Linked DNA regions of Saccharomyces cerevisiae S288C. The main gene of each other region encodes a partner of the protein of the gene in region 3 in a complex. Each region holds a gene or a part of one and is shown on either strand. Other genes may lie near its edges. A codon is read from its position in the direction of its gene.

What was found.
Region 1: the proteins of SSN2 (region 3) and SRB8 are in contact, whole or in part, in a cryo-EM structure (PDB 7KPV), measured with the Saccharomyces cerevisiae proteins. Residues at the interface, in NP_010731.3 of Saccharomyces cerevisiae: Ala5 (codon at 3,152), His126 (codon at 3,515), Lys128 (codon at 3,521), Leu129 (codon at 3,524), Ser138 (codon at 3,551), Ser140 (codon at 3,557), Val142 (codon at 3,563), Pro143 (codon at 3,566), Tyr145 (codon at 3,572), Val147 (codon at 3,578), Leu163 (codon at 3,626), Ala165 (codon at 3,632), Ser288 (codon at 4,001), Gly289 (codon at 4,004), Asp290 (codon at 4,007), Phe294 (codon at 4,019), His295 (codon at 4,022), Cys296 (codon at 4,025), Leu297 (codon at 4,028), Asp299 (codon at 4,034), Ala300 (codon at 4,037), Leu301 (codon at 4,040), Ala303 (codon at 4,046), Ile304 (codon at 4,049), Asp306 (codon at 4,055), Phe307 (codon at 4,058), Ile308 (codon at 4,061), Leu310 (codon at 4,067), Lys311 (codon at 4,070), Gln312 (codon at 4,073); in NP_010004.1 of Saccharomyces cerevisiae: Leu75 (codon at 1,766), Val76 (codon at 1,769), Ser79 (codon at 1,778), Leu82 (codon at 1,787), Ser83 (codon at 1,790), Phe86 (codon at 1,799), Asp87 (codon at 1,802), Ile90 (codon at 1,811), Lys99 (codon at 1,838), Ser102 (codon at 1,847), Ser104 (codon at 1,853), Thr105 (codon at 1,856), Leu108 (codon at 1,865), Leu140 (codon at 1,961), Lys168 (codon at 2,045), Arg169 (codon at 2,048), Ile171 (codon at 2,054), Lys175 (codon at 2,066), Met223 (codon at 2,210), Tyr227 (codon at 2,222), Leu233 (codon at 2,240), Trp236 (codon at 2,249), Lys237 (codon at 2,252), Leu244 (codon at 2,273), Lys245 (codon at 2,276), Gly248 (codon at 2,285), Asn249 (codon at 2,288), Tyr251 (codon at 2,294), Ser252 (codon at 2,297), Leu253 (codon at 2,300).
Region 2: the proteins of SSN2 (region 3) and SSN8 are in contact, whole or in part, in a cryo-EM structure (PDB 7KPV), measured with the Saccharomyces cerevisiae proteins. Residues at the interface, in NP_010731.3 of Saccharomyces cerevisiae: His1109 (codon at 6,464), Leu1111 (codon at 6,470), Pro1112 (codon at 6,473), Val1115 (codon at 6,482), Phe1117 (codon at 6,488), Arg1118 (codon at 6,491), Thr1119 (codon at 6,494), Met1120 (codon at 6,497), Lys1208 (codon at 6,761), Phe1210 (codon at 6,767); in NP_014373.3 of Saccharomyces cerevisiae: Lys18 (codon at 1,590), Ala19 (codon at 1,587), Ala22 (codon at 1,578), Leu283 (codon at 795), Glu284 (codon at 792), Met287 (codon at 783), Ile290 (codon at 774), Gln291 (codon at 771), Ile294 (codon at 762), Asp298 (codon at 750).
Region 4: SSN2 (region 3) and SSN3 share a complex: the UniProt entries of both Saccharomyces cerevisiae proteins name them as parts of the SRB8-11 complex.

The regions. Positions count from the first base shown.
Region 1 is NC_001135.5:252,828-259,678, forward strand, and holds SRB8 (Srb8p), read left to right. Parts: upstream 1-1,543; coding exon 1,544-5,827; downstream 5,828-6,851. Other genes in the region: type 2C protein phosphatase PTC6, read left to right, coding at 18-1,346; AHC2 (Ahc2p), read left to right, coding at 6,056-6,442; TRX3 (Trx3p), read left to right, coding at 6,751-6,851.
Region 2 is NC_001146.8:583,651-590,227, forward strand, and holds SSN8 (cyclin-dependent protein serine/threonine kinase regulator SSN8), read right to left. Parts: upstream 1,642-6,577; coding exon 670-1,641; downstream 1-669. Other genes in the region: KSH1 (Ksh1p), read right to left, coding at 2,952-3,170; EFM6 (putative protein-lysine N-methyltransferase), read right to left, coding at 3,457-4,197; FAP1 (Fap1p), read right to left, coding at 4,613-6,577. UniProt on the Saccharomyces cerevisiae protein: Component of the SRB8-11 complex. The SRB8-11 complex is a regulatory module of the Mediator complex which is itself involved in regulation of basal and activated RNA polymerase II-dependent transcription.
Region 3 is NC_001136.10:1,343,277-1,353,077, reverse strand, and holds SSN2 (Ssn2p), read left to right. Parts: upstream 1-3,139; coding exon 3,140-7,402; downstream 7,403-9,801. Other genes in the region: YDR444W (putative hydrolase), read right to left, coding at 725-2,788; adenine phosphoribosyltransferase APT2, read left to right, coding at 8,016-8,561; histone methyltransferase DOT1, read right to left, coding at 8,837-9,801. UniProt on the Saccharomyces cerevisiae protein: Component of the SRB8-11 complex. The SRB8-11 complex is a regulatory module of the Mediator complex which is itself involved in regulation of basal and activated RNA polymerase II-dependent transcription.
Region 4 is NC_001148.4:471,167-478,195, reverse strand, and holds SSN3 (cyclin-dependent serine/threonine protein kinase SSN3), read left to right. Parts: upstream 1-3,488; coding exon 3,489-5,156; downstream 5,157-7,029. Other genes in the region: isoleucine--tRNA ligase ISM1, read left to right, coding at 1-2,203; MRX11 (Mrx11p), read left to right, coding at 2,455-3,078; mRNA-binding ribosome biosynthesis protein NOP4, read right to left, coding at 6,200-7,029. UniProt on the Saccharomyces cerevisiae protein: Component of the SRB8-11 complex. The SRB8-11 complex is a regulatory module of the Mediator complex which is itself involved in regulation of basal and activated RNA polymerase II-dependent transcription.

The DNA.
Region 1 (6,851 bases), on a different chromosome or scaffold from region 3:
CAGAAGAGGGGAATTTGATGCGGCTGGGGAATGCTTATGCGTATTGCAAGCCGTCGCAAAATGTTGGGCTGAAGCTGGACTTGTTACGGGGTCTTCCAGGGTACGTGGGTCACGCCACGAGTAGGATCAACCGGTTAGAGAACCAGGACAATTACTCCATTAAAATGATGCGGTCGTGGCCTAATGCGTATGGAAGTGCCCTGAACTGCTCTGTATTCGATGGCCATGGGGAGAAAGGTGCGCAACTGTCACAGTTGTTAGCCGATAAATTGTGCAGTAGCCTGGATTTCCCTGAACCCTCCTGGGACAAGCAGGACTTGAAGAAGTTGGTACAGGAATATGCAAGAAGGTTTCCCGAGGGAAATTACTGGAAACATAAGCTGTCCACGTTTGAAAAATTCTACAACAAGTTTATAAAGAACTGCAACTCGAAACAAGAACTGCTGCTGATGAAGGAGGGCGATAGTGCGATCCTTGGACAAAATGGTGGCAGGATGATTTTTGATAAAATGGGGAATATTATTGACAAAATTGCACTGCTCACTGAGCTAGACCGTCTGCGATTGTTCTACGGGTTTGCCAGGTTCGATCTCGACCAATGCTGCGGCCTGGGCACCGCAGCGGGGTCCACAGCGTCGTCCATATTTCTATATCCGTATGATGATCCGAATGCACCCATTGATGAGGGGAAAGACGATGACTCGTGGATCATATCGCACTCTGGATTGCTCAAACTCATTGTCACGCAGGTGGGCGACTCTAAGATCATCCTCTGCGATCAAGACGGGATTGCACACGCATTAACAACAACTCACCACATCAATTCCAGTAGGGAACGACACCGTTTGAGCATAGACCCTTCTCGATTGGACCCAGACGCCTTTGGAGAGACAAGGTTTTTGAATAATTTCGCCAACACTAGATCGTTTGGTGATGTCGCTGGGAAACCGTATGGTATATCTAGTGAGCCGGATATTTTCTCGTTTCTTGTCGGAAATACCTTGCATTTGCCGCGATCTGAAAGGTCGAAGCTGCCCTTCAATGGTGATGAATGCTTCCTGGCGCTTGTCACCGACGGCATCACCAATAAACTTGCAGACCAAGAGGTTGTTGACCTCATCACCTCTACGGTGAACTCCTGGGGACTGAAAAAGGCGACTCCTCAATTTGTTGCAGAGGAGACAATCAAATTTATTCAGGCAATAGCCACTAAACACTCAGACAACGCCACTTGCGTGGTGGTTAGGCTTTCCAATTGGGGCAACTGGCCCAATGTTGACAGAACTGGCCCCCAAAGAGAAACCAAACTAATGAATGCACAATCTAACGAAACAAAATTAAACTAAACACCCCCCTGGGTGGAAACAAGTCCTAGATAATCATCTTTTGTATTTTTTTTCTTCCTTTTATTAGTATGTATACATATATATTACTTTTTATATTCTTTATAGCGCATTTTAAACACCTTTCTGAAAAAATGCTGAGATTTTTGATGCTAATCGAAAGATTAAAAAAAGGTCTATAGAGGTAAGCCAATAACGCGATGAATAACGGTTCTGGTCGATACTTGCTGACTCCCCCAGATGATCTTCACCCCTATGTGCCAAGCTCGAAACCTCAGGAACAAGTATACCCTGATTTCAAGCCTTGGGAGCACACTGCAGCAGAAGATCAAATCCTAGCAAACTTTGTGGCTAAGGGCTTTTACCATACACCAATGGTAAATTTCGAGTCCATATCTGCGAGATCATCTGTTCATGAATCATTAGTCACTCAATCCAACATTCTTTCCCAGCAATTCGACAAAATTATCAAGATTAGAGAAGACCACATTAATAAGATCCCCTCAAATTCCACGACGACATTACACGGGCCTGGTTTTCAGTTGCCTAATAGAATAACCCTTACTGATCATAGAAAGGAAACGTGGTTGCATGAATTGAGTTCGTCTCACACTTCGCTGGTCAAAATTGGCAAGTTTATACCTCACGGCTTGAAAAGAAGGCAAGTCATCGAGCAGTGCTATTTAAAATTTATACCATTGAAAAGGGCGATTTGGTTGATAAAGTGCTGCTATTTTATCGAATGGAAATCGAACCACAAAAAGAAGAGGTCAAATGCTGCTGGGGCAGATGATGCCATTTCCATGCACCTGCTAAAGGACTGGACGGATACCTTTGTATACATCCTGGAAAAGCTCATCTTTGATATGACAAATCACTATAACGATTCTCAACAACTGCGTACGTGGAAGAGGCAGATTTCTTATTTTTTAAAACTTTTGGGGAATTGCTACTCACTAAGATTGATCAATAAGGAAATCTTTCATCATTGGCTTGTAGAGTTTATAAATAAGATGGAAAACTTCGAATTTTTGCCATTATCTTTACATATTTTGATGATTTTTTGGAACGACATCTGCCAAATTGATACAAATGCTCCTGTTGCGGCTACAATAACATCAAGTCAAAAAGAGCCCTTCTTTCTGGTAACAAAAATCACTGATATGCTATTGCACAAATATTATATTGTTTCCAGCAGCAAATCAATGATAAATGACGAGAACTACATCATCAATGATATAAAGAAAAACAACAAGATAAAGTTGAATATTCTCAAAATATTATCCAGTTTAATTTTGAAAATTTTTCAAGAACAATCTTTAGAGGTGTTTATATTTCCCACATCTAACTGGGAAATTTACAAGCCCTTACTTTTTGAAATAGTCTCAAACGCCGACACTAATCAAAATTCTGATATGAAGAAAAAATTAGAGTTAATTAGTTACAGAAACGAGTCATTGAAGAATAATTCTTCTATACGAAACGTAATAATGTCTGCCAGCAACGCAAATGACTTTCAATTAACTATCGTCACCTGTAAACAATTTCCAAAACTATCATGCATTCAATTAAATTGTATAGATACTCAGTTCACCAAGCTACTGGACGATAACCCTACAGAATTCGATTGGCCCACTTACGTTGACCAAAATCCCCTTACAATGCATAAAATTATTCAATTAATTCTCTGGTCCATACATCCATCAAGGCAATTTGATCACTATGAATCTAATCAACTGGTAGCGAAATTATTACTATTGCGAATAAATTCAACAGATGAGGATTTGCACGAATTCCAGATAGAAGATGCCATTTGGTCATTGGTTTTCCAATTAGCCAAAAATTTTTCGGCCCAAAAGAGGGTGGTATCATATATGATGCCTTCTTTGTATCGCCTGCTTAATATACTAATTACTTATGGCATCATTAAGGTCCCTACGTATATCAGAAAGCTAATCAGTTCCGGCCTACTTTATCTCCAAGATTCCAATGATAAGTTTGTGCATGTCCAGCTGTTAATTAACTTGAAAATTTCACCGTTGATGAAAAGTCAATACAATATGGTATTGAGGAACGTTATGGAATATGACGTTAAATTTTATGAAATTTTTAATTTCGACCAACTCGTGGAAATCACAGAACAAATCAAAATGCGAATACTCTCCAATGATATAACTAATTTGCAACTGTCGAAAACTCCTCTGAGCATTAAAATCATGGTTGCAGAATGGTACTTATCACATTTATGTTCCGGTATTTTATCTAGTGTTAACCGCACAGTGTTGCTAAAAATATTCAAGATTTTTTGTATCGATCTGGAGGTTTTCCACCACTTTTTTAAGTGGATCGAGTTTATTGTCTACCATCAATTGCTAAGTGATATAGAATCTCTGGAGGCATTGATGGACATCTTGCTATGCTACCAAAAATTGTTCTCACAATTCATTAATGACCATATTCTTTTTACGAAGACGTTCATATTCATTTACAAGAAAGTTTTGAAAGAAAAAGACGTGCCTGCTTATAATGTGACTTCATTTATGCCATTCTGGAAATTTTTTATGAAAAACTTCCCTTTTGTTTTAAAGGTGGATAACGATTTAAGGATTGAGTTACAATCTGTTTACAATGATGAGAAATTGAAAACTGAGAAGCTGAAGAATGATAAATCAGAAGTCTTGAAGGTGTATTCCATGATCAATAATTCAAACCAAGCTGTTGGACAGACTTGGAATTTTCCCGAGGTGTTTCAAGTAAACATCAGGTTTCTACTACACAACTCCGAGATCATTGATACAAATACAAGCAAACAGTTCCAGAAAGCACGAAACAATGTCATGCTTTTGATTGCCACTAACTTGAAGGAGTACAATAAATTTATGTCCATTTTCTTGAAAAGGAAAGACTTTACTAACAAAAATTTAATTCAATTGATCTCTCTAAAACTTCTAACTTTTGAAGTGACGCAGAATGTGTTGGGGCTCGAGTATATTATTCGATTATTACCAATAAACTTGGAAAATAATGACGGCTCATATGGTCTGTTTTTGAAGTATCATAAAGAACAATTCATAAAGTCAAATTTTGAGAAAATTTTACTTACATGTTATGAATTAGAAAAAAAATATCATGGCAACGAATGTGAAATAAATTATTATGAGATCCTATTGAAAATTTTAATAACTTATGGGTCATCTCCCAAATTACTTGCAACATCTACAAAAATCATTATGTTGTTATTGAATGATAGCGTGGAAAACTCATCTAATATTTTGGAGGATATTTTGTACTACTCAACTTGTCCGTCGGAAACCGATCTTAACGATATTCCATTGGGTAGTGGACAACCAGACAATGACACTGTTGTAACCAACGATGATAAAAGTGACGATGATGATCACACAGTCGACGAAATTGATCATGTAGAATATTACGTTATGATGGACTTTGCCAATCTTTGGGTTTTCCAAGCGTTTACCTGTTTCTGCATCAAAAAAATCATGGAGAATAATGAGCCAGCAATGGCAATGGAAGACTTGAAGAACTTCATATTCCAAATTATCGAAATAACTAATTCTAATGATTTATGTTCACAAATATTTGACCAACTGAAGGATATGCAGACCATTGAGATGATAACCCAAATAGTGGAGAAAGATTTCTGCACTTCTTGTTTGCAAAACAACAACCAAAAGATAGATGATAATTACATCGTTGTGGTGATCGAGATTATAACGTCATTATCGATGAGGTTTCAAAGAGAAACTTCTGGTATGATAGTTATTTCCATGGAGAACTATCATTTACTAATAAAGATCATAAGACAATTAAGTGAACTGAACGAAGGAAATTTATCTAAGAGAGAAATCCAAATAGATGCCGTCTTGAAAATTTTTAGCTTTCATCAGGATTCCATTTTCCAACGCATCATCGCTGATTTATCAGCTGATAAACCCACAAGTCCATTCATTGATAGCATATGCAAGCTGTTTGATAAAATATCATTTAATTTAAGATTGAAGCTGTTCTTGTACGAAATTTTGTCTTCATTGAAATCATTCGCCATCTATTCATCCACAATTGATGCCCCAGCATTCCACACAAGCGGTAAGGTCGAACTACCGAAGAAATTGCTGAACTTACCACCATTCCAAGTGTCCTCTTTCGTTAAGGAAACAAAACTTCATAGTGGCGACTACGGGGAAGAAGAAGATGCAGACCAAGAAGAATCGTTTAGTTTAAATTTAGGAATCGGCATAGTTGAAATAGCGCACGAAAACGAACAGAAATGGCTCATTTATGACAAGAAAGATCATAAATATGTCTGCACATTTTCCATGGAGCCGTACCACTTCATCTCCAACTATAATACCAAGTACACAGATGACATGGCTACAGGCAGTAATGATACGACTGCGTTTAACGATTCCTGTGTAAACCTGAGTCTTTTTGATGCTCGGTTTGAGAGGAAAAATCCACATTGATCTCAGAATATATCCAAATGGATAAATTATAAATTTACCAATAACAGTAATTATGTGTCAGTTTTAATACCCAACCAATTGATTCCTCTAAATGATACCGTACCAAATGACATGTTTGCCACCGATTATAAAACTGGGGTTTATGAGCGATGGTTAAGGAGGATTAAGACAAAGTGCTCATCCGCTTACAAGATCAGTACTAGCGTGTACCAGTCTATTTAAACTGGAATGATCACCCCAAAGGGAACGCACGATGCTGTGGCCAAGTTTCAAAAAACTGACCTGCATCAAGATCTCGATTACATCGTACTGCAACAACGAAGAACACAGCTAGAGACGCTTATTAACGAAAGAGAATCTTTTGTCAAGAATCTGTGTTCTCTTTTCCACAAAATTCAAAATACCAAGAATTACCAGGAATTTGTTGATGTATTGGCGGAGAATAGGGATTTACTGCGAGAAATTTTCACTGTAGAGAACGGATTTCAAAAGCAAAAATGGATTAGCAACGACGACATTCCCCAGATAGACTGGGACAAGTTTGCCCTAGATATCAACGCTTATATAGCAGAGAACGATCAATTGTTGGCTTTGTATGAAGATGGCTTATTATGATCAAATAGCGGCTATGGACATTTTTAAACATATATTTATATATATATACATATATGCGTATATTGCATAAATCACAAAGAAGAACAACGCCCTAGATATAGTGACCCAAAATATTATGTTTAAGTTACTGGTTGGGGTTCATGTACATTTTTCACTATCTTTTAATTCCAAATGTGGATTGTGCTTCTGCAGATTTTGTTGCCTAGTATTCTGTGATGGAAAAAATTGCCCCGATGAGATATAAAATGAGCTAGCCCCCTAACCAAAGAAAGCAGGATTGGTTAGTACATAGAGAAACCAAAGCTGTTATGTTGTTCTATAAGCCTGTGATGAGGATGGCGGTGAGACCGCTAAAAAGCATAAGATTCCAGTCCTCATACACCAGTATTACTAAATTGACGAACCTAAC
Region 2 (6,577 bases), on a different chromosome or scaffold from region 3:
AGAAGATAAATACTTATATATCGCACCATCGTTATTTTGAGTTTTCTTTTAGTAGTTCGTGTGATTGCAGCAATGCGATCTTTATCCTCAACCTCATTTCACACAAAATCAAGACTATGATGCTGTTCAATTTTACTAGTCCGTGTCCACTTATATATATGCAAAAGTATTATCAAACACTTTAGAAAAGGAAGAAAATGTTTTTGAAATAAGCCAACATGTTCTAGTATTTTAACTTGGGGGGCGTTTAATATTTCTGTTAGTTTATCAATTTGGCCTGCCATAAGAATTTCTGACAAAGGTTTTGTGGTTGCACATACTCTGAAAAATGGGGAAGTTTGAGCCACGGTTCACCCATCTTGAATGTGTGTTATAAGTGGGCTACTGCAGTAGACCAAATTGAAAGGATTTTTTGAACACTGGAGAAAAAAACACTAGGTTCGATTCTTTAAATTTAATACATGTCAAGGTCCGACCCAGCTTTCCACCTCAATATCAAAGCAATTTTTAATTATGCATTATAACGGTACCTATTCTCAATATGTCTTGACGTTCCAATATCATGTTAAACAAAGGTAGTCAAGGACGAAACATTTCCAAAACGGATCATCACCACCATAATGATTGAATTTACAGGCTTAACGGTTTTTAAATTTATTCTTCGCATGATTAAATTGCAGATGCTGGTCTAAGATACAAAGTATGTAGCAGAAACTTTATCCATTGTTCGTGGTACTTGTCCCAATGATCGTATAATGTAATTTGCTCTTGAATCGTATCCATAACCTCCTCAAGATCTACAAGAGATTCTGCCATAAAACGATTAAAAGCTATTTGAACAGGAGAACTAGAATTTTTAGGATCTCTGATGGCTTCAGAAGCCGCAGATGCTAACGATGATCCTTTGGTTGGTTTCCCATGAATGGAAATCGTAATGAATAAACATGCAACAGCGATAATATGAGGAGGGTAAAGCAAATGAACATCATTTATATAACTGTCGTTGATTAAGGACCAACAGTTTTGTAGATCATCTGACGATAGTGTTATTTGAAATGGCGGTTGCTTTAAGACTTGAACAATTTGCTTTAAGGATTGATAAGGGTGGTGGACAATTAAGTAACTTTCCAATTCTTCTAGTAAGTAGAACTCAAACTCAGTAACTTTAGTAGGGTCAGGAGGAATAAATTCGGGCCATAAGGTACGGGCTTCACTTACCAAAGTTCTGATATATTGCGGGCATTCTTCAACTTTGCATGCTAAATATACACACGTAGTAACCAGCATATATAGGTTTATTTCTCTAACTGAAGCCTTTATTAAAAACCTTGATAGATAAATATGTGCTGTAGCCAGTGCATACTGTCTTATATTTAGTCTCCTTCCAAGCTTCATTATCAGGAAATAGCAGTAGATCCTTAGATTATAATCTTTATCATAGTGTAAGTCTCGGTGAGTTATTGGTATATTCTTTGTGATGGATTGTTCGATGCCGTTTTGCTTCGAATCCATTACAATATTCAAACCTTGAGGAAACAGCTGGCACTCCAATAGCCATAACTTCTGCCTCTCTTTAGCCAATGATGCCTTGGTATATTGCCAATGATGCCTTTGTGTAGATGTCCAGAAGCTCCCCGACATGTCTAACTTTTGAGATTCAGATGCCTTATCGCTCTTCAACTAAAGTTTGAGAGGGCATTTTTTGTTCGAACAATATGAGTGCTAACAAGGTTGCTACCACATCAATGAACTCTACTCCTGTATGAACCCTAATTTTCCTTCATGAAAAATGAATTTTCGATGTTTTTCCGTGGATTTTATATTTTTTCAAATATATAAAGGAGTAAGAAAATAACTTTGTTTATCCTATGTTGCGGTAAAGAACTAAATAGTGGTCTTCACCTGTTTTCTAATTTCTTCTCGTTTAAAGTTCTTCAATCCATGACCAAAGAATCGTCACAAATCGAAGCTTACAAAATGGAGTAAAATTTTTTTTACTCAGTAATATGCTTTGGGTTGAAAGTCTCCCACCAATTCGTATGCGGAAAACGTAATGAGATTTAAAAATTTTAAATTGTTTAAATCAACTCATTAAGGAGGATGCCCTTGGGTATTCTGCTTCTTGACCTGGTACCTCTATTGCAGGGTACTGGTGTTTTCTTCGGTACTGGATTCCGTTTGTATGGAATCTAAACCATAGTTATGACGATTGCTCTTTCCCGTGCTGGATCGAGTAACCCAATGGAGCTTACTATTCTTGGTCCATGGATTCACCCCTTTTTATTTTTTTAACAGTTTGTTGTTTACACTACTTTTTAGCAGTGTAAAACTTTTGCATAGTTAAATATGCCGAACTGATCTAATAAAAAGTCTGAATAACTCAGATGAGTTATTTATTGGTAAACTTGTGTAAGAAGAAGATGGAATAGTGAATAATTCATCAAATGATGAAATACCAATGCAACAGAGTCAAGCTCTGAGTTTCAAAAAGAAACATGGACGAGATTGCTTTTTTATTACTGACCATGATTATTCATTACTTACCATTGTTCCTCATTCTATATAATTGATTGGGCACCACGTAAATTCTTGAGCCTTTTCGGTAGTATTCAATCGCAATATGGGGTAGTTTACGGAAGTGCTGTAAATGATGTCTAAAATGAACAACTATGCGTCCTTATTGTGACAATGAATTCCCTTCTTAAATCTCTATAGAGGTCGAATAGATGAATACTCAACACAAAACACTATAAAATAAAAAAAAATACAAAAGTGTTTATATTTTTGCTGTGCGTGCTAGCTCATAGCACCCTTACTTGTACGCTATCAGACGATAGAATTAAAGAGACACTTCGTCTGAATCCACTTATACTCTTTGTTTTAAAAGGTACTGCACCTTCTATGACCTTGATTTGCGTAACTTTAAATCCATATGACTAAGTATCTTCCAATCAGCTGTTAAATTGACTGATGGCCATCAAAATACATGCTAAACTAACATATGGACTGGCCCTTTCACCAACACGTGCCATTTTCCAGAAGGCCCCCAAAACCTCATGATTTTTGTAACGATCTAGGAGAGACGGCCACTGCCCATGAACATAAGAACATGAACAAATCAGTAACAATATCACTTGCAGAAGAGAACGAAAATTAAATAATGCAGACATATTCTGTCGTGGAAAAAGGACGCAACTTTGCAAAGTAAATCGATCCGGCTCTCTAGTTATTTTGCAAACGATGTTTACCGCTGTTCTGTCTTTATCCTTGAGTTGTCGTTGCTCACTCTATTGAAGATCAAAATTTCGCTCAAGAAGAGCAGTCCCACCATGCGTACACCACACTACAAAAATGAATGTTATATCGTTTTTTCATGAATTACAAATGTCTATCGAAAAGTTCATTACTAAATATAATAAGATCAGGATCATTAAGAGATAAATTCACTGTGTCAGGTTACTTCCTGATAAGCTGAAACAAGTGGGTTCTTTCCTTAAGATAATGTTCAAATTTACTAAAATCTGTAATTTCAAGAACGTCAAAATTTCTTTTAATCTTGTTGAAAAAATGTTTATCAGCTTTTCTTCTCTTCTTGTAAGCCATCAAGATTACAGGTGGGTTTATGCAGTGAGTGAGATCAAGTAGTGTTTTTTCTAGTAATGGAAAAGCTTCCTCGAGATACACACAATCAGCTGCCAAAACTAGATCAACGTTATTTGCTTGCATAGCACCTTCTTGAGGTGAGAAATCTGCCGACAGCGGCTCACCCCACCAAAGTTCCCTCGCAAGAACTTCATACTGAACTTCGTCCAGTTCTATATTTCTTTTCAATAGTGGTATCAACTTGTCAATGTCCGTAACATATACTTTAGTGCCATCGTGGAATGTGTTTTTTTCCAACAACCCCACGCACAATCCAACTAAACCTGTACCACTACCCAATTCTAAGACTTTTTTAAATTGTTTCGTACCATTGACCGTCTTACTTAGCAGATGGTCAACTGATTTCTCGAGTATGTACTCGCACAACAGTTCGCCAGCGATCCAGACTTTACCGCCACAACCACTTTCACCGCCATCTTCACAAATTTTCAATGCAGGCAATAATTTTCCACCGAAGGAAAGGTCTGTTTGACCGAGATGCTCCTTTGGCCTAGGAACAACTAGATCTCCAAACCCACCAAATATACTCTCCATACTCAATACCTCACTAGTCGCGTTTTTATAACGTTCTAGGGAAAATTATGGGCCATTTTTTTACATAGAGCCTGCTCATCATAACTTTTGAATTATTTAAATACGAAGAATTACTTTCAGTGTTTGGGTGTGAGGGACTTTTCGTTTGGTCAAGCCAAAAAAGCTTAAGAGAAAAGAAAAATCTCTTCTGGTTTTACTTGACTAGGTTTCCAAATTATAATATCCGTATTATTAACGTGACACTCAGTATTCTCCATTCGTTTACGGGAACGTTGATATGTAAACATATGCAGATCCTCGTATTTTAGCAACGACAGGGAGAAACAAGAAATGAGATAGGATGAAAAAAAATAAAAGTTAGATATTTCTATTTAATTAGAATTCCGCGTAATAAATAATGACACGCTATTATAGTTCATGTATTATTATCCATTACAGGACTATCCTCTTGAATTACGGGCGTATCCAACCTTCTTTCAAGTTCTTCTTCAGTTGAACACAACGAAATGGAATCGGCCAAAAATGCCTCTTTGGCCATAAAATCGAAGTGTCCAACCAAAAGCTCCATGTCACGTTCGGTATTCACGGATGCTGTTTCGTAATTTTCAGGATACACTAGTGCTGTTTTGCCATCATCAAGGATTAGGTATTGAGGATTCACTACTAACGTATGCTTGAGATGTGGTTCAAAAAATCTCCTTAGATCTTCGGCAGTATTTCCAGCAACCAAATTTTGAACCAAAAAACCATTTTTCTTAGCCACCTCTACTTTAGGTTCCGTATCTTGAACCTCGAAGTTGATTAGTTTAGCTGTGGTGCGAGCTTGAAATTCTTGTGCTTTCCTTTCCTTCTGCAATTGTTTAAATGATTCATATAGTGGGTAAGCTTCTGCTAATGATAAGACTGGTTTATTGCTTGCGCCATTATCTTCTTTCTTAATAAATACAGATCTCATGGGCTCTCTGTCCTGAGACTCGGAATATAGGCCGTAAGCTTTGGCTAGTTCACGGATGAAGTGGCGTTGAGGAGGCCTCATAGGTTTGAAATGCAAGCTTGAACGTGTTTTATCGTCCATTAATTTATTAAGAATAGCTTCAATTTGTGAACACCATCTTTCTTGCTTTGAATATACTGATAATGCTGCCTCTGTAAACGGTAACTGCAGTTCTTCAAATGTTGTAGCAACAGAGACCAGTTTTTTTAACGCATCTAGTTCATTACTTGTAAAATTATTGGTTTCTTCCTTAATTCCAAATGCCTCCTTCAATTCCTTTAGTCGTTTCAAAGCTTCACATTCTTCATTGCAATCCAGCACGGAAGATTCAGTTACACTTACTCTATCACTTTTTGCGCCACAAGTAACACTTTTTTTGATCCTTCCACATTTACAATAAATTTTCACTAGCGTGGCACAAGGTAAATCGGGACACTCTGTCTTACCATGGCACGGTTTAGGACATTCATGATTACAATTGAGCCTTTTTTGCCCACAGGTCTGTTTACACACCTTTTGGCAATTTCCTGGTAAATGACATGTTTTTTGGCAGGTATGATAACAGTAAGAGAGTGGTATCCCACATTTTATTCCACATGATACGTCTGTTTGAAAACAAACCGTTCTCACTTTAGTTTTCTTCCCACATTTACAAGGTTTAAATACGGTTTCCGTACATGGCGGGCACGACACATCCAAGGAATGACAGGTATGTGGCATTGGTTTATGACCACACGTAGATTCGCCACGCACAACTTTAATACATGGATGATTACATGTAGGTAGCTTCGTGCCACAACGCACGGGTGCAGGAACAACTGTATTGCCACATGGGCAGACCAGATCGTTCGAATCACTCTCTAAACAGGGCGGACACTTTCCTGGGTGACATTTTCTCTGACATTTATGAATTCCACATGATAGGGTCAAGTTACACGGTTTTAGGCAGATATGTTTTGCTTCCACAAGAGACTCATCCAACAAATCTTGCGTTCTGAACAAGTTTTTCTTCCTTCTTATCGCCGATGGCCTACCACTGCAGCACCTATCGGTGCATCTATGTCTACGGCATGACATCAGGGATTCGCATTTAATATTGCAGCGAGGCCTTCCTTGAAATCCACATGGAACTGAAAATGTACTTTGCTCACAAGCACATTTTACACTATCAATTTGCAAGCAGGGTTCCATACAGGCTTTATCATGACAAGTGAAGGGGCACGAATGTTTGCCACATTTTAGTGGTTTACCGCATCTTGAGTCGCAGGTTGGTATCGGATCATCACAATGCTTACGAGGCTTAGTCAGTTCCTCTAGGGCTGTCCGGCCACAGGGACAAGTTTTCAAAGAGCTAGGCAAAAATGGGCATGCCTTTTCTCCATTAAT
Region 3 (9,801 bases):
ATCGTATTATCAATACTGGCATTTCAGCTTCACTAAATTTTCATGACTGTTTCTTAATCTTTATACCATTTTCTTAAACCGCATATGATAATATACTAGTAATGTAGAGAATGTGGATTTTGATGTAATTGTTGGGATTCCATTGTGATTAAGGCTATAATATTAGGTATGTAGATATACTAGAAGTTCTCCTCGAGGATTTAGGAATCCATAAAAGGGAATCTGCAATTCTACACAATTCTATAAATATTATTATCATCGTTTTATATGTTAATATTCATTGATCCTATTACATTATCAATCCTTGCGTTTCAGCTTCCACTAATTTAGATGACTATTTCTCATCATTTGCGTCATCTTCTAACACCGTATATGATAATATACTAGTAACGTAAATACTAGTTAGTAGATGATAGTTGATTTTTATTCCAACAAGTAACATGAATAAAACTAAACAGATGATATTTTAAAGTTTCATTGCAACAAACATGTTTAATGTCCTATTACTTCCAAAATTAATTAGTTTTTCCAACGAAATAGCCTTGTTGGCGCAATCGGTAGCGCGTATGACTCTTAATCATAAGGTTAGGGGTTCGAGCCCCCTACAGGGCTATCTTTTTTTTAAACAACATCCACACTTTATTGTGGTCATTGTGATATTCTTAAGAAACTTTTATTTCATCTATGATATTTTTTTTTACGTATACATTATAAATCATCAAACTCATGTGGCATTCTCCGCGCCCTTTGATATTTCCCCCTCGTTATACTCATTCGACCGGTCCGCTTGCGATGACTGGTTTGGCTCATCTTTTGGCTCATTTGCATCTTCAGCCAGCTCGCTACAAACCTTGGATCCGAAATGGTGCTCAACCATGTGTTCCACAGCAACATAGCCGTATAAATTAACAAATCTTCTTCTTACTACGATATTGTTATGGGAATCAGGCTGGATCTGCACTAATACTTTTCTCCAAGTCATCGTTTCTTGCCATTCTCTAGCAATGCGCTCTTGAATCCTGTTGACACTCTCATTAGGATATATAAGCTTCTTAACGATAGGCCTATTCTCATAATGCGGCGGAGGTAATTCTTCCGGGTGATAAAGTTTATCATGAATGACTTCATCTTTCCTTACAGCCGGGTTTTTGATATACTCCTGATCTGGTATGGCAGCTGTCAATACCGATAATGCAGACAATACAGTATTGGCTTCTTTTGGAGGTTCGAACTTTTGACCATCAAGAAATACTCCTTGTTCATTATCCGAATCTGAGTTGGCTTCATTAGTTTGTCCTCTCTTATATTTATTTATTTTACTTCCGTGGATAACGGCCTGAGGTAAAGTCCACTGCAACGTCGCTTTTTTGTTTGGACTTTCTGCAGGAATCTCCCCGACGTTGTTACCATTTTCGTTTGAAGGTGATGATGCTCCACTACTCTCTGGGCTATCGGAGGACACAAACTCGCTTGAAGTTGGAGAGTTCTTATTTTTTTTCCTAATTTTCTGGACTTTGTGTATGCTTCGCCAATCCAGATACAAAAGTGCAGCAGTTCGTAATGGAACAATACCATCATCCATGACATTGGCATATATCGTTCTCCTCTTAAAAGACTCAAATACTTTTTTAGCCGGCGCCTGTGGAAGAATTTCTAATATGTACTTGGAATGTTCTGGGTACACTTCATCGTCTGCATACAACCCATCTTTGGACGTTAACGGTGTATATTTTAAATTCAAGTCCCTTCCTGTCAAACCAAGCGCGCCCATATCCAGTGGAACAGACAAATAAAAGGGGAAGTCGCCAATAACACCGATGAAAGGACTAGCTAACGTAATAAAATTAACGGGTTTAACACCTTTAACTGCATCAAAAAAATCTGGTCTTTTAATACTTATGTAACGCACCGCCATGGATTGAGTTGGCCCTCCTAGGGAATGGCCAATGAATGATATCCTGTCTACTTTGTACTTTTTATTCAACTTATCAACAGTCTCAAGCACATACTTTCCAACTCTAACGCCCAAGCAATGTATACCGTGACCTGATTTCCCGACGTTGCCCATAAAACCTCGAACAATTATATTCGGATTAATAGACTCATCCATAGGAAACGTCATTTCTTCAATTTTATCTTTCATATATAGCATATCACACCCGATATTAGAAAATATACCATGTGTCATAATAACGAGATGTACAGGCTTTTCTGGAAATTTTGGTGGTAAATCCCAAAGGGTTTCAGTATCCCACATCTCTAAAGAGACACCTTCAATACTCTTAAAGAGCCCATTCGATTTCTTGACCACCTTCCTTGTAGTCCCTATCCTAAACGAAAATTCCAGCTTCGGAATTGTGGTTACCGCCAACTGCGAAATTATATCTATTGTCCATGAATAAAGAGAAGTGTCGCCAACTCTAGAATTCTCATTCAATAATATTTTTACTTTAAATCTTTCGTCCGGCTTTAGATTTTCAACAAATGGAATAATTTCCTTCCCTGGAAACTTGCGATTCTCATTATAGTTATGCGGCCTAACATCGATGTAAAAAGAATATGGCCCCGTCAAATAAAGCGGTCGCAGAAGCGCGCTTTCCTCGTTCTTGATCCTCAAGAATAGATGCGATACATCTAGCCCTTGTTCCTTAATTACATCTTTGTTCACGGAAAACTTGTAGCGATATAACTCACCTATTCTTAATCTCTTCCGCTCATCAACCAATAAGGTACCTCCGGTTTCATTTATCTCGAGCGAATTTTTCATTCGGTTGATTTTGTAAGGCATTAAGGGATCGAACCAAAATGGAGCAATTCTTTTATAATAAGAAGATGAATAACAGCCGAGTAAGTGATTCTCCTCCGCATTTCCTGCTGTTCATTGTTTTATCATACTGAATAAACAATCCTTAGAAAATAGCATCGATATATTCGCGCTTAACAAAGCGAAGAATTGAAACATTTTTTCAGGTGGAGGGACCGGGTAGTGCCGGATCAAGTAGTGTAGTATTTATTGTAGTACACTCTTACAACAACCCTTTAAGACGAATGGTGTGAAATCGGAAATTACTTTGTTGAAGTAAGGTGTAACTATATTTTAAGAACGTTTAAGCTGGATATCAAGATCTGAGGAGGTAGTATGAGTTCTGACGCTTCCACGTACAGACTTGAGGATGTTTTATCCAGCTTCTATAGAGTGGAGAAAATCAAAAAGATCAACTATCATCAGTACATTTCTAAAGCCCAAAACGATCAATGGTCTATCCAAATGGAATTCATGCTACGGAAGCAGGATCCAAAGACTCTAGTTGCGCTGCTTTCAAGGGATTTATGGTGTTTCAGTATAAATGATGATCCGGTACCGACACCTCCTGCGATAGAACATAAACCAGTGAGCCCAGATAAAATCGGAACTTTCACTGCCGATTATTCAAAGCCAAACTTACCGCCACACTATGCTCTTTTTTTAAAAGCTTTAAGAAGGAAAATTTACATTAATTTGGCATTAGGTTCACACAATAAGCTAATACAATTTGGGAATGCCTGCATATCATTAAGCGGAGTGCCAAATTATCTCGTACAGCTAGAACCACACCTTTTTGTAAACGGAGATCTCACAGTGTCGTTATGTGCCAAGAACATGGGATTAGTACCAATGAAGGAGGAAAATTTGGAAGAATCTTTCCTTTCAAAGCATGCGCTTTATTTAGCACCATCTGGAATAAGGATGCATTTGGCCCCTGCTTCCAAGCAAGGATACTTGATAACGCCACCAAAACATACAGAACTTCTCTTGACGACGTTAAGTGTATCTCATGGTATAAACTTACAAAATAAAAAAAATTTGAAATGGGTTGCTGTTGTTCCTGACTTAGGACATCTCAACGGCCACACACCTACTATAGCTTCGTATTTAACTCCCTTACTTGAAGCAAAGAAGCTAGTATGGCCGCTGCATTTAATCTTCGCCCAACCAGTAGCTGATATAGAAAATTCTACTTCCGGAGATCCATCAGAATTTCACTGTTTGCAAGATGCTCTGGATGCCATTGATGATTTCATACAATTAAAGCAAACAGCTGCCTATAGGACTCCAGGAAGTTCCGGCGTATTGAGCAGTAATATTGCTGGTACAAATCCCTTAAGCTCAGATGGAGCATATACAGAACAGTTTCAACATTATAAGAACAACTCAATTAGTTCTCAACCCGCTTCTTATCATTCTGTCCAAGAAACTAATAAGATATCTCCGAAAGATTTCTCCCCTAATTTCACAGGCATTGATAAATTAATGCTGTCGCCCAGCGATCAATTTGCTCCAGCTTTCTTAAATACCCCTAATAATAACATCAATGAGAATGAATTATTTAATGATAGGAAACAAACTACAGTATCAAATGACTTAGAGAACAGCCCACTGAAAACGGAACTGGAGGCAAATGGTAGATCACTCGAAAAGGTAAATAATTCCGTGAGCAAGACAGGAAGCGTAGACACACTTCATAATAAAGAGGGAACACTGGAACAACGAGAACAGAACGAAAATCTGCCAAGTGATAAAAGTGACTCTATGGTAGACAAGGAATTGTTTGGTGAGGATGAGGATGAGGATTTATTTGGCGATAGCAATAAATCGAATTCTACAAACGAATCGAACAAAAGTATATCGGACGAAATTACCGAGGATATGTTCGAAATGTCTGATGAAGAAGAAAATAATAACAATAAAAGCATTAATAAAAATAACAAGGAAATGCATACTGATCTTGGTAAAGATATTCCATTTTTTCCCTCATCTGAAAAACCGAATATCCGTACGATGAGCGGAACTACAAAAAGATTAAATGGAAAGAGGAAATATTTGGATATTCCGATAGATGAAATGACCTTGCCAACGAGTCCATTATATATGGACCCAGGTGCGCCACTCCCTGTGGAAACACCCCGCGATAGACGCAAAAGTGTGTTCGCTCCACTGAATTTTAACCCCATAATAGAAAACAATGTTGATAACAAATACAAATCTGGAGGGAAATTTTCCTTCAGTCCGTTGCAAAAGGAGGAAGCATTAAACTTTGATATTTCTATGGCGGATCTTTCTAGCTCTGAAGAGGAAGAGGATGAAGAAGAGAACGGTAGCAGCGATGAGGATCTAAAGTCATTGAACGTACGCGACGACATGAAACCTTCTGATAACATCAGTACTAATACTAATATTCATGAGCCTCAATACATAAATTACTCTTCGATCCCAAGTCTACAAGACTCTATTATAAAGCAAGAAAATTTCAATTCAGTAAACGATGCTAATATCACTAGCAATAAGGAAGGCTTCAACTCTATTTGGAAAATTCCTCAAAATGATATACCACAGACCGAGTCACCACTGAAGACCGTTGATTCATCTATTCAACCCATAGAATCCAATATAAAGATGACCTTGGAAGATAATAATGTTACCAGTAATCCGTCCGAATTTACGCCGAATATGGTAAATTCTGAAATTTCTAACCTACCAAAAGACAAGAGTGGTATCCCCGAATTCACACCGGCGGACCCCAATTTATCTTTTGAATCATCAAGTAGTCTACCGTTTCTATTGAGACACATGCCGCTAGCATCTATACCGGACATTTTCATCACGCCTACTCCCGTTGTTACAATTTCAGAAAAAGAACAAGACATCTTAGATTTAATTGCAGAACAAGTCGTCACTGATTATAATATCTTAGGAAACCTCGGTATTCCAAAGATCGCCTATAGGGGAGTTAAAGATTGCCAAGAAGGTTTAATAACAACCACAATGTTACAGTTATTTTCCACTTTCGATAGATTAAATGGCAATGATACGATCTCCAAATTCTATAACATGAAGCAGCCGTACGTTTTTGTAAAGAAACATCACGAACTAATCAAAGTCAAACACGACTCTCAGCCATTTATTAAGTTCCTCAATTTTCGCCCTCCAAATGGAATAAAAAACTTCAAATCCTTATTATTAAGTTCATCTTTCAAAGAAGATTGTCTGTCATTTGCGCCAACTCTATCTCAAACATATATTAATCAAGAGTTAGGGTTTTGTGAGTTGCTTAAACTAACTAATGAAGACCCGCCCGGACTGATGTACTTGAAGGCATTTGATAAAAACAAGTTACTGTTGTTAGCTGCGCAGATTGTTTCATACTGTTCTAATAATAAGAACTCCATCAAAAACGTGCCACCAATATTAATAATTTTACCCTTGGATAATGCAACTCTGACTGAATTAGTAGACAAGGCGAATATTTTTCAGGTGATCAAGAACGAAGTTTGTGCCAAGATGCCTAACATTGAACTATATTTGAAAGTTATTCCTATGGATTTCATTAGAAACGTACTGGTGACAGTGGATCAGTACGTCAACGTAGCAATTTCTATATATAACATGCTGCCGCCAAAATCTGTAAAGTTCACCCACATTGCGCATACGCTGCCGGAGAAAGTGAATTTCAGAACCATGCAGCAACAGCAAATGCAACAGCAACAGCAACAGCAACAGCAGCAGCAGAATAACAGTACAGGATCATCTTCTATAATATATTATGACTCGTACATCCACCTGGCATACTCGCGTAGTGTAGATAAAGAGTGGGTTTTTGCAGCTCTTTCAGATAGCTATGGACAAGGCAGCATGACGAAAACGTGGTACGTCGGGAATTCCAGAGGAAAATTTGACGACGCATGTAATCAAATATGGAATATCGCCCTAAATTTAGCGTCTAAAAAATTCGGAAAAATATGTCTAATTTTAACTAGATTGAATGGCATACTGCCGGATGATGAATTGATGAATTGGAGGAGACTTTCTGGTAGGAATATACATCTTGCTGTGGTGTGTGTGGATGACAACTCTAAAATCTCCTTCATAGATGAGGACAAATTGTACCCTAGTTTCAAGCCGATCTACAAAGACACTAGGTTTGGAGGACGCATGGATATGACCAGATTATACGACTATGAAATAAGGGATATAGACCAGGACATCCATGGAATAGTATTTCAGCACCCGTTCCCACTGGCACACTCACAGCATCGCTGTGCTATTAGGAGTGGTGCTTTGATCAAATTCAAAAAATGCGACGGTGATACGGTTTGGGACAAATTCGCAGTCAACCTTTTAAACTGTCCACATTCTGATAGTACACAATTGCTGGAAACCATCTTAGAAGAGTTTCGCAACCTGGCTGCTCTAAACGTGTGGTACGGTCTCTCTGATGGCGAAGATGGCCATATTCCATGGCATATCCTAGCCGTGAAAAAAATGATGAACACTCTTGTGCACACCAGAGTAAAAATTGCTAATACTTCCGCCGCTACTGTGCATACCGCTACTTCTTCATCAATTATTCTCTCGGATAAATAAACTTTTTCCGGCAACGTTTTCCTGCTCATCTGTAGCCCTATTTACCAGTTTTGGTTTTAGTATTATTCCGGGGTGTAAACCCAGAAGTCTATTTCTCCAGTCGGATTTATAAAAACAAAACCGGAAGCGGGGCGGTACGGCATTTTCACTGGTGATGCACGCCCAGCGTGTAGTCCGAGACAATTTCCACAGAACGCGAATGAGATTGCGTTTAAGGCTGTATTTTCAAGGCACACGAAGCGGCCACGTGGGTCTGCGATGGTGTGTTGATGATGTCAAGAATGGTATCATACTCCGTATAAGGTTATGTAATCGGAAGTCGCGATTCTTTTTCAATTTTTTCTTTTTATTTTTTTCCAGTTTTTTCGTCTCTGCGATGGAAAATTGTTGAAGTTCTCTTGATTAGCAAGTAGTTCTTACATCGCAGGAATCTTATGTTGCATAGCTCAATTTACAAAAATAACAAGGATAAATATATATATATACGCATATACTTTTTGGGTGTTAAAGTAAATTTTGCACCCGTTCATACCAATCGTTCAGATAATTTTCGCTCCTTAAAAAAAGAGAGTGCGTGTGTATATGCCTGTTCATTGCCTGTCCGCCTCTCATTATGTCTATTTCTGAATCTTACGCAAAGGAAATAAAAACTGCATTTAGGCAGTTCACTGACTTTCCCATAGAGGGTGAGCAATTTGAGGATTTTTTACCTATTATTGGCAACCCCACGCTATTCCAAAAGTTGGTACACACGTTCAAGACGCATTTAGAAGAAAAGTTCGGCAAAGAAAAGATCGACTTTATTGCAGGTATAGAAGCTAGAGGCCTTCTATTTGGGCCATCCCTAGCACTGGCATTGGGAGTTGGATTTGTTCCAATAAGGAGAGTTGGAAAATTGCCGGGTGAGTGTGCTTCTATAACATTCACAAAATTAGACCATGAAGAAATTTTTGAAATGCAGGTTGAAGCCATTCCCTTTGATTCCAACGTGGTTGTCGTGGATGATGTTCTCGCCACCGGTGGAACGGCATATGCTGCGGGCGACCTTATCAGACAAGTGGGTGCTCATATTCTGGAATATGACTTTGTGCTAGTGTTAGATAGTCTACATGGTGAGGAGAAATTATCTGCTCCTATTTTTTCCATATTGCACTCCTGATTTAAATTTGTTCTCTGCCTCCTCCTTCAATTATTTTCCTTTCCTTCGCATATTGCTACTTTTTAGCTTGAACTTCTTTTGTTAATATAAACTGGTACTTTACTTTTTAGGTACCTGGTCCACGGCGCCTTATCCTTCTTTTAATTCATATTATTACCTACTCTTATTCTCTCCCTTTCTATTTTTTTATTTTTTGATTTTTATAAGTTACACTTGTGTACATGTTATTTCTACTTAGTTATTCATACTCATCGTTAAAAGCCGTTCAAAGTGCCTCATCTGGTATACTTCACCGGCGTACCTCTGTTCCTCCTACCTCTTGCAGCAGGGCTGAATAAACTTTCGTCCACATCCTCCATCACTGTTGATATATAATACTCTCCGCCACTATGCGTCCATGAAACACTATCCTCCTTAAGATCATACCTTTGCACCTTTAATCTATTGAAGATGTTCTCAACATTGTAGAAGTTGATCTGATAAGTGAGGCTTCTTAAACTTTTCAAACTTATGATCTTACATCCAACTTTTGCCGTTTGTAGTATCTTTTCGACTTTTTTATTCAAATCTTCATCAAATAAAAAATTATTTACGAGGATAACATCGCACTGAGGAATTAGTTCAGCGACCCTGTTATTGTCCACAAAGCTTTTCTTCAATGAAAACTCCACGTTGTTCAAACGCATCCCATATAACTTACACCTCTTCTTTAGTTCCTCGTACTGCAGTATAGTTAAATCGCTAGCATCATCCATGATTTCACATCCGAAGCTTAATGCACATCCACATTCCAACGCAGCTTGTACTACGCAATTACCTACTCCCGAACCGAGATCCATGAAAGTGTCACCCTTCTTCAACTGGCATTGTTGATATACATCAGATAGGAAATTGGGCAAAAGTTCTCCATAAACATAATTGCTGAATGCTTTGTAATGTTTCAATTTATTCGCCTGCGGATGGATACTCCTGGTATAGACGATATGCAAGAAGTCATGAATGAATGAACGAGGAATTTTATCAATTGTTTCTAAATGGTCAATTATTCTTTGCCTAGGAATTTCACGAATCATTTTGTTGTATAAATTTATAGCATTCACGAAACCTTTCGTGTCAGAGTTATCAAATGATGCATTTAGGTCCGGTAGTATAGTTTCCTTCAATTGTTCAGCATAAGGTGAAGGTAAAAAGACCAGGCAGCTGTATTCAATTAATTTACCAATTTCACTCATTGGATTAT
Region 4 (7,029 bases), on a different chromosome or scaffold from region 3:
GAATAACTTGCCTATATACTGTTTGATTTGGACCAGTACTCCATGGACTCTTCTCTCTAATCGAGCAATCTGTTTCAATCAGGATTTTTCCTACTCCCTATTACGCTTAAATAGTGAACTTATCCTTGTAGAGACCGGCTCCATTGATAAATTGGGCCTAACAACTAACTCATTTGAGACTATCAAACAGTTTCAAGGAACTCATCTAAATGGGCTATATTATCAAAACCTCTTAGTAGACGATAAGGTTGGCAGGCCCTTATTACATGGTGCACACGTTACCAGCGGTACAGGGACTGGATTGGTTCATACAGCACCAGGGCATGGACAGGATGACTATCTCATTGGTATTCAAAATGGTCTTGAAATTTATTCTCCCGTGGATCACCAGGGCCGCTACCAATTAAATGAACTTCCTCAGTCCGTCAGATCCATCGTGAGAGATGAAGGAGACTTAACAAAAGGTAGGCAAGTATTGGATGCCGAAACCGCGAAAATCATTCTATGTAAGTTAAGCGACCTTAATTTACTTTACAAATCTCACGAATACACGCATTCTTATCCGTACGACTGGAGATCCAAGAAACCTGTCATAATAAGAGCTACTCCACAGTGGTTTGCAGATTTACACGATGTAAAAAACTTGGCTCTGGAAAGCATCAGCCGCGTCAAGTTTTGTCCTAAAAGAGGCTATTCAAGACTTTCATCCTTTATGAAAAGCAGAAATGAATGGTGCATATCTAGGCAACGCTCATGGGGTATCCCTATATTAAGCTTTTACAAGAAGAGCGAACCGGATTCTGTTTTGATGAATTCAGAAATTTTGGCACATGCCATAGAAAAAATCAAACAAAAAGGAATTAATGCATGGTTTAACGATAAAGATAATGACATGAAAGAATGGTTGCCAGAAAAATATCACGACGTAGCGCATGAATACTGTCGTTCTCAAGATACTATGGATGTGTGGTTTGATAGTGGGTCGTCATGGAGTGTGATCAAAGACTTTTATGAAAAAAGCTTAAAGTTGTCAAAACTCCCATCCCCCCTGTACCAAGTTTGTCTAGAAGGATCTGATCAACATAGAGGATGGTTTCAAAGTTCACTGCTAACAAAAGTAGCATCAAGTAATGTCCCTGTTGCACCATATGAAGAAGTGATTACTCATGGTTTTACCCTAGATGAGAATGGTCTGAAAATGTCAAAATCTGTGGGAAATACAATTTCTCCCGAAGCAATAATTCGAGGCGATGAAAACTTAGGCTTACCAGCTTTGGGTGTTGATGGCTTGAGGTATCTGATAGCACAATCGAATTTCACAACTGATATAGTTGCTGGCCCGACTGTGATGAAACATGTAGGAGAAGCTCTAAAAAAGGTTAGACTAACTTTTCGCTATTTATTGAGTAATTTACAGAAGTCCCAAGATTTCAACCTTTTGCCGATTGAACAATTACGCCGTGTTGATCAATATACCTTGTATAAGATAAACGAACTGCTGGAAACGACGAGAGAACACTACCAAAAGTACAACTTTTCCAAGGTTCTCATTACTCTACAATATCATTTAAATAACGAGCTATCGGCGTTTTATTTTGATATCTCAAAGGATATTTTATATTCCAACCAAATATCGTCATTGGCAAGAAGGCAGGTCCAAACAACGCTTGTCCATATACTAAATGCATATAGGGCAATTCTTGCACCAATATTACCCGTTATGGTCCAAGAAGTATGGAAGTATATACCAGAAGGATGGTTACAAGGACAAGAACATATAGACATTAATCCGATGCGTGGAAAATGGCCGTTTTTGGACTCAAATACGGAAATCGTCACCTCCTTTGAAAACTTTGAACTAAAAATTCTAAAACAGTTCCAGGAGGAATTCAAGAGGTTAAGTCTAGAAGAAGGTGTCACCAAAACAACACATAGTCACGTTACCATTTTCACCAAGCATCACCTCCCATTCAGTTCTGACGAGCTTTGCGACATATTGCAATCATCTGCTGTTGATATATTGCAAATGGACGATAATAATAACAGTCTACCAACTATTGAATTGGGAAGCGGAATAAACGTTCAAATATTGGTTGAACGAAGCAAAAGGCACAACTGTCCCAGATGTTGGAAGGCCAACTCAGCCGAAGAGGATAAATTGTGTGACAGATGTAAAGAAGCTGTGGATCATCTCATGTCTTGAATGACATGTACCTTTCCTGTATATAAAGAATGCCAATTATTGGCTCTTAGAAAATAAAAACCCTCTTGTACTTATTAGTGGGTACCTAACAGGTCCCCTACTGACATTTTGATGCAGGGCCTCGGCCTATTGTTCTTACCAGCTCTCAGCGCGTTATACGAACAGGAAGCAAAGAAGAGAAATGTAAAAATATTGCTTTTGAGAGACCGTGTAAGGATAAGTGTTACACCCAAGGCACCCTCACCAGGAACATGACTGTCATGAATCTTTTCTTCAGGCCCTGTCAACTGCAGATGGGCTCTGGACCGTTGGAGCTCATGCTTAAAAGGCCAACGCAATTGACCACGTTTATGAACACCAGGCCCGGCGGATCAACCCAAATTAGATTCATATCGGGAAATTTAGATCCAGTGAAAAGAAGGGAGGATAGACTACGTAAAATATTTTCCAAGTCACGACTTTTAACAAGGTTAAACAAGAATCCTAAATTTTCACACTATTTCGACCGCCTCAGTGAGGCCGGCACGGTTCCAACACTTACATCATTCTTCATCTTGCATGAGGTAACTGCCATACTACCACTGTTTCTACTATGGTGGTTACTTTATAACCTCGATCTTTCTGATGATTTTAAGCTCCCAAACTTCTTAAATGGCCTAATGGATAGCTGTCATACAGCTATGGAGAAATTTGTTGGTAAGAGATATCAGGAATGCCTCAACAAAAACAAGTTGATTTTATCTGGCACAGTAGCCTACGTTACAGTAAAATTACTATATCCGGTACGCATTTTCATTAGTATCTGGGGAGCACCATATTTTGGGAAATGGTTGCTTCTTCCCTTTCAAAAATTAAAGCACCTTATTAAGAAATAAAGCTTTTTTTTCCTTTTTTTTTTCTGGCCCAGAGACGGATTATTGTTTTCAGTTGAAGTTGCGCACTCGGCATATGATTTATAGATTCCCAATATATTGTACTTCGTTATATATGTGTTACGAATATTTTTGATTTCGTTTTAGAGAGTTTTGATTAGAGGAAATTATAGCTTTTTTTAACAGTGAAATAAATATCATACATCAAAAGTCTTCAAGAATTACGTGGTGTGGCTTAAGTTGCGTTTCATTTTCCCGCTTCAATACTTGAAAGTTATCCCACAATCACTGCTGACAAAAAGGATACAAGAAAGGTTTATAGGAAAGAAAAAAGGCGGAAGGGTATACTGAAGTTAGTAATTTTGCTTCCCAATTGAATTAAGGCCGCCTAGTTTTGACGGGAGGAGAGAGAAATGTATAATGGCAAGGATAGAGCACAAAACTCCTATCAGCCAATGTACCAAAGGCCTATGCAGGTACAAGGACAACAGCAAGCTCAATCGTTCGTTGGAAAGAAAAACACAATCGGAAGTGTGCATGGAAAAGCCCCGATGCTAATGGCCAATAATGATGTTTTTACTATTGGACCTTATAGGGCAAGAAAAGATAGAATGCGGGTATCTGTCTTAGAAAAGTACGAAGTTATTGGCTACATTGCTGCGGGCACATATGGTAAAGTTTACAAAGCGAAAAGACAAATCAACTCCGGTACCAATTCCGCTAATGGTTCTAGTCTGAATGGTACCAATGCGAAAATTCCGCAGTTTGACAGCACGCAACCAAAATCAAGCTCTTCAATGGACATGCAGGCAAATACAAACGCATTAAGAAGAAACTTGTTAAAGGATGAAGGAGTGACCCCCGGAAGAATACGAACTACGAGGGAAGATGTATCCCCGCACTATAATTCCCAAAAACAAACCCTCATTAAAAAACCGCTGACGGTATTTTATGCCATTAAAAAGTTCAAGACAGAGAAGGATGGCGTCGAACAATTGCATTATACGGGAATATCTCAGAGTGCCTGTAGAGAAATGGCATTATGTCGAGAATTGCACAACAAGCATTTAACCACATTAGTGGAAATTTTTTTGGAAAGGAAATGTGTCCATATGGTATACGAATATGCGGAGCATGATCTGCTACAAATTATCCACTTCCATTCCCATCCCGAAAAAAGGATGATACCACCAAGAATGGTTCGGTCTATTATGTGGCAGCTTTTAGACGGCGTATCGTATCTTCATCAAAATTGGGTGCTTCATCGAGATTTGAAACCCGCAAATATAATGGTGACCATAGATGGATGTGTTAAAATTGGTGATTTAGGTTTGGCCAGAAAATTTCATAATATGCTGCAAACCCTCTATACTGGGGATAAAGTGGTTGTCACTATATGGTACCGTGCACCTGAGTTGCTATTGGGAGCACGGCACTATACCCCTGCGGTTGATTTATGGTCCGTTGGCTGCATTTTTGCAGAACTGATAGGATTACAGCCCATATTTAAAGGTGAAGAAGCTAAACTAGACTCTAAAAAGACTGTTCCATTTCAAGTGAATCAACTACAGAGAATTTTGGAAGTTCTTGGCACTCCCGATCAAAAAATTTGGCCTTATTTGGAGAAGTATCCAGAATATGATCAAATTACGAAGTTTCCAAAGTATAGGGATAACCTTGCTACATGGTATCATTCCGCGGGAGGAAGGGACAAGCATGCTTTAAGCTTACTTTACCACTTGTTAAATTATGATCCAATTAAAAGAATAGATGCATTTAATGCGTTGGAACATAAGTACTTCACAGAAAGTGATATTCCTGTTAGTGAAAATGTATTTGAAGGTCTAACTTACAAATACCCGGCAAGAAGAATTCACACGAACGATAATGACATCATGAATCTTGGATCAAGAACGAAAAACAATACACAAGCTTCAGGAATCACCGCAGGTGCCGCTGCAAATGCGTTAGGTGGGCTTGGTGTTAACCGTAGAATTCTGGCCGCGGCAGCAGCAGCCGCTGCTGCGGTGTCAGGAAACAATGCATCAGATGAGCCATCTCGAAAGAAAAACAGAAGATAGGCTTCTATTTTTATATATATTTGGAATTTTTCATTCCACAGCACTGTCACTATTATATTCATTAAACTTTTTTTTATCTTTATAGTATTTAAATCGGCATACAGTTTCAATTTTTCGCTTTAGAGGCACTAAGAATGCAAGTCTGCAACATTCAGGTAAAATAATGGGTTGATTTTAGGTCGAGCTAAAACCCTGTTCTCCGCAGATGTATGCGAATTTCGTCATAATTCATCTCAACTAATGGGGCTTTAAAACATATGAATATCTCATGCATTCCCAAAAAAGAAGAAAGAAAAGACTTCAAGTACCCCCCTTAATTTTTATATAATGGTAGTAGTAGGTTTGTTCGTAACTTATCGGCAATAGTAATATGTTCCCATTATAACACATCTGTTAATGGTATTCAGGTTAATAACCATAGCAAAAAATATAAACAACTTTGTACATTTTCCATAAAAAAGAATGACTTTACGAAAACATTGGATGAAACAACCAGTTCATCCCGTTCAAAGTCTAAACTACGTATAAAGTAGAGTTATCATCGGTTAACAAAGTACATTGTGTAGTATGTAGAAGGGCTGAAACCATCAAGAAAAGGAGGGACACGCTCATACAAAGGAGAAGTCATGAATTCTAAATGTATCTAATAAGATACGTGAATTCAGCATCACCTAGTTATTAATGACCAGCCGAACCTAAAAGTCATTGCACAAACAATGTAGAAACATAGCTAATTTTACATACTTTTATTTGCGGTCTACTTATAACCATTATGTATATCATGGGAAATAAATAATTCTCGTCTTGCCTATTACTTCAAACGGAACGTCTAGGAGCGATACTGGTAATAAGGTTTCAGTATGATTTACTGAGATGCTGGACAGTATATGTAGAGAGTTTCTCGCGCTTCTCGTAAAACAGTACTAAAATAACGACATAAAAGCTTTCGAGTACGTTAGAGATTCATCTATCTACTCTTTGAAAAATAATGTACATACGTAAAGAGAATACAAATCGAAATTCCTATAAATATGGTTCTACCTCTATTTTTTTGCGTGCTTTCTCTTACGCTTGAACCCGATTATTCTCTTTATATCATCGCCCATCTTTTTGTCATCGGGATTGGTGGGCGTCGTTGCTTCTTCTTTTTTTGGCTTCTTATTCTCGGATTCTCCGACATCTCCAGTATCTTCATTATCTGGTCTTGTTCTCTTGGTTCTTGCTTGCTTCAATTGTTCCCTTCTTCTCTTTACGACGTTAGAGTTCTCAATCGCAAATTCAACACAAAGACGTCTTCCTTTGCCTAAGTCATTGTCTACTTGTTTCTTTTCATCATCATTCAAACCCTCTAAAATTTCATCGGAGGTAACGGCATGACAATTCAACCACCTTAAGCCCATCAAAGCGTTTTTATGATCTCTGAATTCTACAAAACCGTAACCTCTACTTCTTCCCGCAGTTGATCCTTTAACTTCCATTATAACTTTTGCTTGCTTGACAACACCACTTTTTTTGTCTTTCTTTTTTTGAGCTTCAATCTCATCTGGACCCATGAACTTGTATTTTTCCTTTGTAGATCTGATAATCTCTTCTTTACTCAATGGATGTCTTTCCTTATTTTTAACTTCTGTAGCAAATTCCACGACAGCTTTACGAGCTAACGCCTTTAATGCTTTATCATTCATTGCTCTAGGAAGATTTCTGATAGCCAACCTAGTCATCGACAAATGCAAAGATGGGTTCTTTTTCAGTTGCTCCACTCTTAATTTGTAAGATTTTTCTCTGATCTCCATGTCAGTGTTGGTTAACAAATCAGCCATTTTTGAGCCTTCAACAACTCTACCTTCATTCAGCAAATATAAGTTACGTCTAT